Linked DNA regions of Zea mays. The main gene of each other region encodes a partner of the protein of the gene in region 2 in a complex. Links are inferred from orthologs where the notes say so. Each region holds a gene or a part of one and is shown on either strand. Other genes may lie near its edges. The genes, in order: Probable chlorophyll(ide) b reductase NYC1, chloroplastic; pheophorbide a oxygenase, chloroplastic; 7-hydroxymethyl chlorophyll a reductase, chloroplastic.

Evidence for each region.
Region 1: pheophorbide a oxygenase, chloroplastic (region 2) and Probable chlorophyll(ide) b reductase NYC1, chloroplastic share a complex: the UniProt entries of both Arabidopsis thaliana proteins name them as parts of the SGR1-CCE-LHCII complex. The link is inferred for Zea mays from reciprocal best matches to the Arabidopsis thaliana genes ACD1 and NYC1.
Region 3: pheophorbide a oxygenase, chloroplastic (region 2) and 7-hydroxymethyl chlorophyll a reductase, chloroplastic share a complex: the UniProt entries of both Arabidopsis thaliana proteins name them as parts of the SGR1-CCE-LHCII complex. The link is inferred for Zea mays from reciprocal best matches to the Arabidopsis thaliana genes ACD1 and HCAR.

Annotation. Positions count from the first base shown.
Region 1 is NC_050098.1:2,270,097-2,273,847, reverse strand, and holds the start of Probable chlorophyll(ide) b reductase NYC1, chloroplastic, read left to right. Parts: upstream 1-1,061; 5' UTR 1,062-1,226; coding exon 1,227-1,565; intron 1,566-1,901; coding exon 1,902-1,980; intron 1,981-2,081; coding exon 2,082-2,217; intron 2,218-2,556; coding exon 2,557-2,631; intron 2,632-2,738; coding exon 2,739-2,934; intron 2,935-3,190; coding exon 3,191-3,259; intron 3,260-3,395; coding exon 3,396-3,535; intron 3,536-3,682; coding exon 3,683-3,751. UniProt on the Arabidopsis thaliana protein: Involved in chlorophyll b degradation. Belongs to the chlorophyll catabolic enzymes (CCEs).
Region 2 is NC_050096.1:10,195,587-10,199,337, reverse strand, and holds the start of pheophorbide a oxygenase, chloroplastic, read right to left. Parts: upstream 2,164-3,751; 5' UTR 1,900-2,163; coding exon 1,531-1,899; intron 1,442-1,530; coding exon 1,206-1,441; intron 1,118-1,205; coding exon 991-1,117; intron 1-990. UniProt on the Arabidopsis thaliana protein: Catalyzes the key reaction of chlorophyll catabolism, porphyrin macrocycle cleavage of pheophorbide a (pheide a) to a primary fluorescent catabolite (pFCC). Works in a two-step reaction with red chlorophyll catabolite reductase (RCCR).
Region 3 is NC_050096.1:206,311,113-206,314,863, reverse strand, and holds the start of 7-hydroxymethyl chlorophyll a reductase, chloroplastic, read right to left. Parts: upstream 2,523-3,751; 5' UTR 2,419-2,522; coding exon 2,207-2,418; intron 2,100-2,206; coding exon 2,015-2,099; intron 1,536-2,014; coding exon 1,427-1,535; intron 1,174-1,426; coding exon 1,089-1,173; intron 991-1,088; coding exon 949-990; intron 735-948; coding exon 656-734; intron 241-655; coding exon 189-240; intron 94-188; coding exon 31-93; intron 1-30. UniProt on the Arabidopsis thaliana protein: Probable iron-sulfur flavoprotein that converts 7-hydroxymethyl chlorophyll a to chlorophyll a using ferredoxin as a reducing equivalent. Catalyzes the reduction of a hydroxymethyl group to a methyl group. Belongs to the chlorophyll catabolic enzymes (CCEs).

The DNA.
Region 1 (3,751 bases), on a different chromosome or scaffold from region 2:
GAACCGGACCAGCGTTGCAGCTGTCACTCTACTTTTGCTCTGGGTCCGACCCACTGACTCAAAGCCCGACGAGCTAGGACGATCGTCGATGGTTCAGTGCACGTACGTTTGCCGTGGCACTCCCGCGCGCGCACGCCGCAGCCAACTCAACCGATGGATGGACGGTCAAACCAAGCAGGCGAACGGAGTCGGCAGCACAGCCACAGCGCTGAGTCACCTCCTCGCGTGCGTTTGCGTGCCGGACTAACGGGAGTTGCGTTGCGTGCACGTGTTTATTTGCTCTAATAACCGCGCACGCTTGGCGTCGCCGTACGTGTAACAGGAATTTTTTGCCACTAATGTGCATCTGCAAGTTTTGTCCTGTCGTAAACACCAGATGATGCTGCCGAACACGTACGAGTTGCGTTTAGGGAAAAAAATTTGTTGCAGCCCGGCTGCAAACCAGGCTGTTTGCAGCCCCTCACAAAAAGGTGGATAGGCCCCACCTGCAGGTCCACCAGATAACGTTTTAGTTGTATTATTTACCTGCGGGTGGGACCTATCCTCCTTTTTGTGAGGGGCTGCAAACAGCCTGGTTTGCAGCCGGGCTGCAACAAATTTTTTTCCTGCGTTTAGGGTTTTGGACGACGACGAAACATTGGCATCCGGGGGGGCTCGGAGGTCCCGTGCAGATCTCGTTCGCAGACAAATAAAAATATAACATGGGCCAAAATGCTCAAACGACACGTACGTACGCGTTTACAAGTATCTGTCTAGGATTCTGAGATATTTCTTCGACGATTCTGAGATACTTGATTTTTTTGCTGACATCTGTGTGCTAGCCCTGGTCCGAGCTCTATCTCCGTGTCCGTGGAATGGACTGGACAGGGACTCGGTGCAGCCGCATCCGCCCAGCGCTGGGGACCCTGAAGCCAAAGCGAACGGCCACGTGGCGCCTATCCGCGCGAATGGGACGGATGGATGAGGTTGCAGCAGCGTGTGGCCGCCGGCCAGTTCATCTGAGCCCAAAGAACTTCACAAACCAGTCCAGGGTCCTTTCTGCAATAACCTGAAGAAGCTACGATTATTATATTTATTCACTGGTAAAGCCCAGTGGAGAGCACACGCCTCTTCTCCCCCCCCAAAAAATCCAGCAGCAGCAGCAAGCCCCACGCAACATTAGCAGCAGGAGACCACCCCAATCCCCCACGGACATTCGCCGCGAACCCTTATCTGCACGCCGCGCCATGGCCGCCGCCGCCGCCGCCGCGGTCGCCCACCTCTCCATCCACGGCCGCCTCCGCCGCTCACCGGAGCATCGGCCGTCCATCACCACCACCACCACCTCCTCCTCTTCCTCGTCCGCTCACCGCCCGTCCCTGCTGCGGTGCCGCGCGTTCAAGCAGGAGGCCGGCGACGGCGACCCGGCTGAGGCCGACGCGCGGAAGCGCAGGAAGGGCCCGCTGTACAAGCTCAAGGCGGCGATCCAGGGCCTCGCGGGATCCCGCTCCGCCGCCGCCGAGGTGTACGGGGGAGAGTACCAGTACCAGCGCGCCGTCGAGAAGGCGGAGGAGATATTCTTCTCGGTGAGCACCGCACCGGCCTCCGCTCGCGAATCCTTGCGGCGTGCCCCCCACCCTCACCAGTCACCACGCTTATCTGTTTGCTCACACACACACCTGAATGAATTGCCTAACTATGCTGGAGTACTACTATCAGGAACGCAAATAAATGTCCAGTGCTCGCTAATTACAGCCTTAGTACCTTAAACCGTGGCATCATGAACAAACAAGGGTTTGTTCATTGTTGCATGTGATCCAGGCTTGCAGTCCACCATACCAAGTCGTATATTTCTCTTATTCCATTTCTCCTGTGCATAAGGGTTTCTTATATGTTTGCTGATCTCAGTCACCTTCTCGCAGGTTACTACTCAGCTAGGCAGATATGTTATCACTATGATGAGCAGCGGTGTTGTACTTGGGGTTGGATTCCAGCTGTCAGGTTTGCCATACGTTTATGCCTCTCGTTTCATTTCACTCTTGGCCTTTTCCTGAAATTCCAATTTAATTAGACGGACTATTTTTTTTAAACCCCTCACCCAGGTGGAGACAGCCAAATGAACGAACTAATTTGGTATAGCTGGCTTGGTGGGGTGATTATCGGCACAATGATAGGTGCAAACAGTGTCCTAGAGGAACACTGCAAAGCTGGACCTCGCAATGTCGTCATAACTGGAAGGTACCTTGTTTCCATCCTTCGTTCAAGATGCCTTCTGCAAAATTTTCCAGGACTCTGTATGCACCATTTTTCAATTTTCATTTATTAGCTGACTTGCCCTGTAAGAAAAGTATTGCACAGCATATTATTGATAGCATATGAAATCACTCTAGAAAACAGAAACTGTCGAGGTTAATGGATTTAGCTACTTAAGAAGGAAATAAAGTTTGGCTGTGTTTTTCAAGTTTTTGCAGTTTCACTGCTCACGGCCATTGGATAGGTTATTTCATACTGTTGTTTCTTATTTCGGCAATTAGCATTGACATCAGTTTTTTTTTTTTTGTTATAAAAAAATTCCAGCACAAGAGGGTTAGGAAAAGCGCTTGCTCGTGAGTTTCTTCTTTCTGGAGACCGTGTTGTAATTACTTCACGAAGGTGATATTCATGAGAACTTTAGTCTAGTTCTACAAGGTTTCATACTTTTTCCTTATGGAGCTTTATGCTTTATTTTAGTTTTAAATATTTTCTTTTTGTGATGGCAGTCCTGAATCAGTCCTTCAGACTATAAAAGAACTTGAAGAGAACATACAGGAAGGGTTATCTGTTGCCAAAAAGAAGCAGAGGAATATTCTATCGCATGCCAAGGTTGTTGGTACAGATTGTGATGTCTGTAAACCTGAAGATGTGAAGGAGTTAGTGAATTTTGCTATTAATGAGCTTGGTTCAGTTGATATTTGGGTAGGTAATTCATTACAGTTTTGTAGCTTAAATCTATATCTTATTTGGTCTACCTTTTGTTTTGCTAAAGAAATATTTAAGTAAAGTTGGATTATACAGAGTTTATAACATTTACATCAGTTGTGAAATGTACTTTATATATATGATGACATTAAGATAGATTTTGTGGTGCCCACTTTTATGCTTTTCTGTATGGTTCTATGGCTACATCAAAGAAGAATATTATTTACCACTTCTTCTCCAACCTTGTGTGCAGATAAATAACGCTGGCACAAATAAAGGTTTTAGGCCATTGGTAACCTTTTCAGATGATGACATCACTCAGGTTCGTTATTGTTATATTATGTTGTGTTTTTATCATTTTTTATGTATGTATCATTGATCAGAGGACCTGGCTTAATCATGCTACCTTATTTCCATCTTTTTATTAATTTATTCTGATCTATTTCATGTTGTTACAGATCGTCTCAACAAACCTAGTTGGTTCTCTACTGTGCACCAGAGAAGCCATGAATGTCATGCAATACCAAGAGAAGGGAGGCCATATATTCAACATGGATGGAGCAGGTTCTGGAGGATCAAGCACACCACTAACAGCTGTGTAAGCATCTTAGCTTTCGAATACTCTGTTGCTTCTTTATAGCTTCTACTGTATAGATGTGTGTTTTTTGTTGCTAAAACTTGAGTGTCCTGTATTGGAGTTCTTTATGTTATGAAGCGAGATCTGATGCTGAACTCAAATTTGTAGCTATGGTTCAACTAAATGTGGACTAAAGCAGTTCCAAGGATCACTTCTGAACGAAAGCAGAAGATCAAA
Region 2 (3,751 bases):
TCATGAGTCAATTCCTTAAATTTGGTTGAATGACCCCATTCTTCATACTAGTACTAACTACTAGTCTGAGGAATGATGTGATAATGCACTGACCAACCTACTCCATTCAACAAACCAAACAAAGAAAAGAGGAATGAGTGGGTGAACTAACTAATCCCTCAAACCAAACACCCTATTAATGCCTGTTCAGACTAAGCAAGTAGCGTAAGTAAAAAAGAATAAAACTATGATGCAAAAATATATATGGGTGCATCCACAGTTAAGATCTAACAGTTAGGGTTTGGTTCCTTTAGTCCAGGGACGAAAGTTTAGTTAGAAGACTAAAATTTAGTCCCTACCCTGTTTGGTTCTAAAAACTATAAGTATTCAAAACACATTAAATGAATCATAAGAAGACCAAAATACTCCTTAACATCCTCCCGCCATTAGTGCAACTGAAATGAAGGAGGGCCAAAAAGTGGATTTTTATGGTTTAGCCCCTTAGAGTCATCCCTTGAGGGACTAGAGACTAGAACAGTTTAGTCCTTGTTTTAGTCCCACCGTTTGTCAATTTATGGACTAAATGGGACTAAAATGGAGGCACTGATATTTAATCCCTCAAACCAAACGGGACCTTAGTTAAACTTGCACGCTGGCAATCAGAAACGATAAGAGGCCAGACTCAGACCATTCAGCCCTTTTGCCCATTATAAGTCATTTCTGAGGAATTTCAATGCAGCATAAGTAAAAAAGAATAAAACTATGATGCAAAAAAAATATATGGGTACATCCACAGTTAAGATCTAACAGTTAGTTAAACTTGCACACTGGCAATCAGAAACGATAAGAGGCCTACACAATTAAACAGTATTGAGGTGGTGATTTTTTAGCAAACTACACAAATTGGTTGCAACAAAACATCTTTCCTCGAATCACCAACTTTCAACTGAAAAATACTATCATGGTGCTTAAGTGTGGCAAGCAACTAAGCTTTCTCACTGTACCAAGTACCTTGTGGTGAGCAAATTCTATATGGGACGGATCAGAGACGTTCTCCATCAACGTATCATAACCATAGAACAAGTCCCTCTGGATTGTCACCGTGGAGAAGGCCGGGTCCTCAAATTCTTTCGGCAACCTGAAACCAAACAAGATCGAATTCAGACACCGAAATGCAAAACTGAATCCAACCAATTAGCCGCAGTCCAAAGTCTGACTCTACGCACATTGGAGGCTTGGTGGCGGCCGCTTTCTCCCACCCATTCTCATCGGGCCACACGAAGAGCAGCCCCTGGGAGACGAGGGTGGGGAACTTGATCGCGCACGCCTTCGGTGACCGCACCGCACGGGCCTCAGGACCCTCGGGCATGGCCTGGGGGATCTTGGTGCAGGCGCCGGAGCCATCGAATGACCATCCGTGATACGAGCACTGCAAGCACCCCGTCTCATCGATCCTGCCCTCCTGCACATGCCCAGACCAAAATTAGCCGAAACGAGGAAGAGATCCGGTAGGACACGGATGAGGCGAGGAAGGGATGCGGGTCGCCGTACCGAGAGCGGGGCAAGGCGGTGGGGGCAGCGGTCGTCGAGCGCGACCCACTCGCCGGACTTGGGTTCCTTCCAGATGACGAGGTCGCGGTTGAGGAGCTGGAACGGGGTGGGGCGGCTGGGGTCGAGGTCCTCGACGAGGGAGACCGGGTACCAGTGATCCCTCCACGAGAACTTCTCGCCGGACTCGGGCGCCGACGTGCTCGGCTCCGCCTGCTCCGCCGCTTCCCCTGGGACGGACGTCGGCGCCGCCACGCGGAGGCGGGTCCGAGAACGACCGCCCACGCGGAGGCGGCCTCCAGCCAGCGGCACGGCGAGCGAGGGGAGCCGCGGCGTCACCAGGAGCGACAGGGCTGGGATTGTCGCGCGCATATTCTCCCCGCACGTGTCGACGTGAAGTGAAGTGAAGAGGTTTTGGCTTTCGCGTTGGGAATTCTTCGCCGCGCTGGCTATATGCTTGGCGGCCGGAGTCGGTGGTTGGAACGGTGCAGATCTTCTAGACTGGGCAAGAACAGAGTTCTGCCACGGCAACGGGGAGAAACCTGGTTTTGGCGCAAGAAAACCAGTGGACAAACAAGAAAATTCCGGGATTTTCCCACGCTGGGGAGTGAACGCGAGGGAAGAACTAGTAGGGCTGGGCAAAAAACCCGTAACCCGAAACCCAAACCTGGAATACCCGAACCCGAACCCGAAATACCCGAAACCCGAATTTTGTTTGGGAATTTCGGGTAGCAACTTGCAAAACCCGAAATTATTTCGGGTAATTCGGGTATCACAATCGGGTACCCGAAATACCCGAATTACCCGAACTTTCATGTGTCATGTACTCATGTCATGCTTAATAATTAATTTGTACATCTATAATTATGTGTAAGTGTGCATAACTTGGGATTGTAGATTGTTTGTGTTTTATATGTCCATGTATATCATTATTCAAACTATATTTTTATACTAATTTAATAGGGTGTATGTGTTTTTATGAAGCCAACACAATAGTTCGGGTAGTTTGGGAATACCCGAACCCGAACCCGAAATTCCGGGTACCCGAAATTCCGGGTATTGAAAAATCCGTTGTAATTTCGGGTATTGATTCTCAAAACCCGAAATTTAAAAAACTTGAATTACCCAACCCGAAAATTTCGGGTAACCCGAACGCCCACCCCTAAGAACTACTGATACGGTTCGGCTAGGGAGAATACATTGTACACATGGTGAGCGCAGTGTGGTTGCGTCACGGCAGGGAAGGGAGGAAGGGCGGGGAAGGAGGACAATTGTACGCGACCACGCATGGCGCTTTGCGGCATTTGTGCGGTGGAGCTTGCATTGGGCCAGCTAGCCGTCCCCACCGGGACGAATGCGCCGCGCGGAGGGGAGACCTGACCGGCGGTGAGAACGACACGAACCCACCCGTGGGCCGTGGCGGAATCCACCCCGCCGGATGTTTGCAATTCGCATCTTGCTGAGTAGCTACAAAGTTGAATAGATCAAATTCGAATTTGTTTACCAGTTCTACTACTACTTCCGTCCCTCAACCTATAGTAACCATTATAAGAGCATCTCAACTCATTTCAAAAAAACTTTCTAAATTCAGATTTAGCGAGCTGCTAAATATATACTGAAAAAACTGTCAAATCAGTTTTTCTAATTATTACTTGGAATTTTAAATTTAGTTTCATTTGTATGGTAAAGCTATCTTTAGACTTGTCAAATGAGGATGGTACATTTATAATTTTCGCGGCTTAAATCATTTAAAGTGTGTCACTTGTATACGAGCGCGATCCCGATGGTAGGCAAGTGAGTTTGCGATGCAGTTGACAAGCAAAATAGTTTATATGTAGATCTGGTTTAAATGTGATAATTATTTAAACATGTTCTAATAATACTAACTATAAAATAAGTCGACATATTTCAACTGATATCATTTAAATACTAAGGTAGTCATGCTATTTATCCGTAATAGTTTAAACCATGGTCCTGTTTGGTATAATTTTTTTTCTAAAGAATTTTTTTAAGAATCTAAATTTCTAGATAATCTAGCTGGCACGAGAATATAAATATCACGAGACTTGCGTTTGGAGAAAGATGAATATGTGTGCATGGTTTAGGTTTTAGAACGATGGAGTCTTCCTATCGTGACGACTTAAAGAAATATACATTCATATTGATTTAGATAGTTTTCACAGAAATGATACTCACATGAGCGGCCAAAAAAACAAAGCATTTG
Region 3 (3,751 bases), about 200 Mb from region 2:
GACTGGTTTGAGAGGAGAAATGGAAATTACCACAGTTTGTTCCAAGCACATAAAGCTTTTCCAAACCAAGGTACTTTTCTACAGATCTCAAAGCTGTAGTTCAAACAATAACTTTAGCAACTTTTACTTTTACATTTGATAAAACATCAGCAATAGAAAGAGAAGAAAGGCCAGGTAAAGGAAAAGACCTTGCACTTGACAGCCCACACCGCAGAAAAGAAGCCGCTTTACACCAGCTGCCTGCCAAAGGAAACTGTGAAACTCTCTGGATTTATAAACTGGTCACTATAGGATATCATATGTATTGTTATGGTTGGAGGGATGATTGGAATAGGCTTTGGAACCCACTAGAATGTGGGGCTACTCCAGATTTAATAGGCTAATAGAATTACATTTGCGGTCTTGCCAAGCAACAAATTCAAATATAATTGAACTACTTCTAATTCTCTTGAATTGGGAAATGGGAACGAATATCTGGATCAATTAACCCTAAATTAATATTAGGACAGCTGATTCTCTCTGACTCTCAGAGATCTGCTGATATGACCCATTATTACTTCTATATGTTATAAGAAAGGGAAAGGAGGCATGGCACCATAGCTTGCATCAAGAATAAGGGGGCATGGGAAGTATAGAGTTAAAAGGAGCGACTTACCTCGACTAAGGCAAGTGTATTGAGATTTGGTGATAATGTTGGCTTCACACCTTTGGCTGCAATTACTTCGTCTGGTGTCCTACAAGAGCATGGCTACTGAGATTAAATGTCACTTCCATTCTAGAAATCAAGGGACATAATGATTAGCATGAGTAATTCATGGATGGACTGATAACAAAAGTTTAAGCTCAAAATAGTTACAGAAAGTCTGGAATTGCAAAAGTATATCCAGTCAAGGAGTGTTATACACAAGCCATAAAGGACAATTCTGAAAGCCATCAGTTTCACAATACCTGGCCAAAACAGGTCTTGGAGCAAGCCTGTCGTCAGGATCACTGCAGAGGGGGTAAAAAACATTATTTGAATCCATGTGGTAATGCTTGTGCATAGCACTGAGAAAGAATGATGTGGCATTTGATTCTTGTTTGGGTGCCTTTGTACACAAACCACAGCATCAACCATGTTTGCTTTCAGCATCTCGACAGCGATTGTTGTCACTATTCCCGTCCACTGGGCTCCTGTTGCATGTGAGGCACATATATGTTACAGGGTACAAAACATAAGTCGTCAGGGTACAGTTTTGTCTAACAAAGGTTTGTTGAGTATATCAAGATAGTGTAGGAAATAAGATGCAACATTCGAGGTGTATGTGGTTTCGGTTTGTTATGGAAGGGCAGTGAACAAGACTGGTATATTGCATATGTGTGCTTCCTTAGATGGATGCAGGCGGTTGTTGAAGGATAAGAACAACTTGTAAAAGGTAATTAGTACCTTCAACAGGTTCGGTCTTCCTGGCATACAAGAGTTGGTCATAGACTCCAAAGTACATTTCATCCATGCCTTCCTTCCGGCCTCTCCCGTGGACTTGTCGCTCAAGATCCTAAATATAGTGAGGAGAGTGTTGGCATCTGTAAATTTGTGTCAACTTTTTTTAGGAAACAGGAGAGTTCCCCGCTTTATTTCACTGAAACAAAGTGTAGAATTCATGTCGAGCATTACTACTCCCTCGGTCTAAATTATAGTTCACTTTAGCTTTATTCTAAATCAAAACTTCTTTTAACTTTGACTTGACCTAAGTATTTTATAAAAAAATATACTCCCTCTGTATATGTTCAAATAAACTATCAAGACATTTTTCACGAAGAAATTGATGAAATCATTTTGATATTGTAGATGGTCTCTATGAACTTGGTCAGAGTTAGAAAAGTTGAACTATAACTTTCGACGGAGGGAGTAACTGCGTGCAGCACTGCAGCCCATGGCTTGATCAAACATCAGACGATCATTTTTGTTTTCATTCAGCAAACTGTTTGAGCCGTTCTAGGCAGGTGATGTGATGCGAAGATGAAGGGAGGTGACCTCGACACGGGACATGCCGTCTCCCAGGAAGGCACAGGCAGTCTTGACATGCGCAACGTAGTATGTGTCGCAGAGCCCACAACGGCTTGAATCGCCATACGAGTAGAAATAGGAACAGAGGTAAGCATCGCATATTCGCATCACATAAACACACAAACAAACAAAGAAATGCGCAGCACAGCAGGCATATACCTGCAGTGGTCCTTGGCAGGGTAGACGGCGCCAGGAGGGATGGGCTTGGATTTCTGCCTCCAGTCCTCCCTGACCGCCTTGGCCCTGATCTTGCGCGTTCTCTCGGACCTGGAGGACGAGGAGGAGGCGAGGGAGGGTCGGCGGAGTCCAGGAGACGAGGACGAGGGCGACGAGGCGTGCAAGCAAAGGGAGAGGGAGGTGCTGGAGGCCATGGTGGCGGAGATCGTCTCACCTCAGTACCTCACCGGTGATAAGACGGAGGATCGAGTGGAGATGGAGGAGTCATGCCTTGAGCCTTTAAGAGAAACTACTGTTACTGGGCCACCTCATGAATTTCGGCTCATGTCCACCCTTTGAGGAAAATTCGGAGCCTGCAAAATGTCCACCCATCGATGCATAGTGCATCTTTTTGGTTTTCATATTTAAAAATATTCAAAATTCAACACTATACCCCGGATAAAAAGTTAACAGAAATTATGCCGCCCATATATGTATTTTTTTACTTCGTAGTCCCTCCTTTTGGTGGGACGACGATCCGTACTCTTAGATTGTCTTCAACACCTTACTCATCATATCTCATATCTCAACCGCTATTTTAAACTTAACTCTTATAAACAGTAGTATACAATATAAAATAATTTTTTACGCGATCATATATATGACTAGGTTCATGCCCATGCGTTGCTACGAAAGTAAAAAAAATAGTATAAAACATAGATACGAAACGATAAACAACATTATGATATGCAAAATCTATGTGGCAAAATATCACTGTAAAACTATTATATTGGCGAGATAAATATGTAATCTTATTATAGCTAATTGCACGTGCGTTGTTACGGTTTCTATATATCAAACAATTAGACTTTATTTTAACAAATCACGAAAACATGTGGGTTCTGTTGGTTAGATGAAGGTGGATGTACAACAAACAAATATTCAAACCACTACCTATTGATAGACTTTGTTTTACAAAACACAAAATATATATCTTCTGTTGGTTAGATGGGTGTGGATGTAAATCCAATAAAGGCCCAAACTACTATTTATGTGTAATTGTACCTAATTTTTGCATAAAGTAGTAATTTTATCTAATTTTTTCATAAAGTGGTAAAGATGACCACTATTTATGTGTAATTGTACCTAATTTTTGCATAAAGTAGTAATTTTATCTAATTTGTTCATAAAGTGGTAAAGATGATCTACGTTGAAACCAGAAAAACTAAGCATTCTTTTTTGCCTTAGCAGAATCTATCAGCACACATCACGCGATTCCAGTCCACCACGTATATATGGAGCAATAGCTTGCCAGTGAACTCATCTCTCGCATGTTATTTCACTCTTCAGTTTAAAATCTGATAGATTGTTTGAGCTAACTCGAGCTCTGCTTCAGATGTTTTGTAGTTAAAATCTGACACGAGACATATATCATATGCAATGGGCACAGATTCTGAATCCTTCCATGTGTTACACATTCTCACAGCGAAGCACAAAACACATGATGTACAATGCACACAGATCTCCCAGGTAGCTAATGACTGCAGA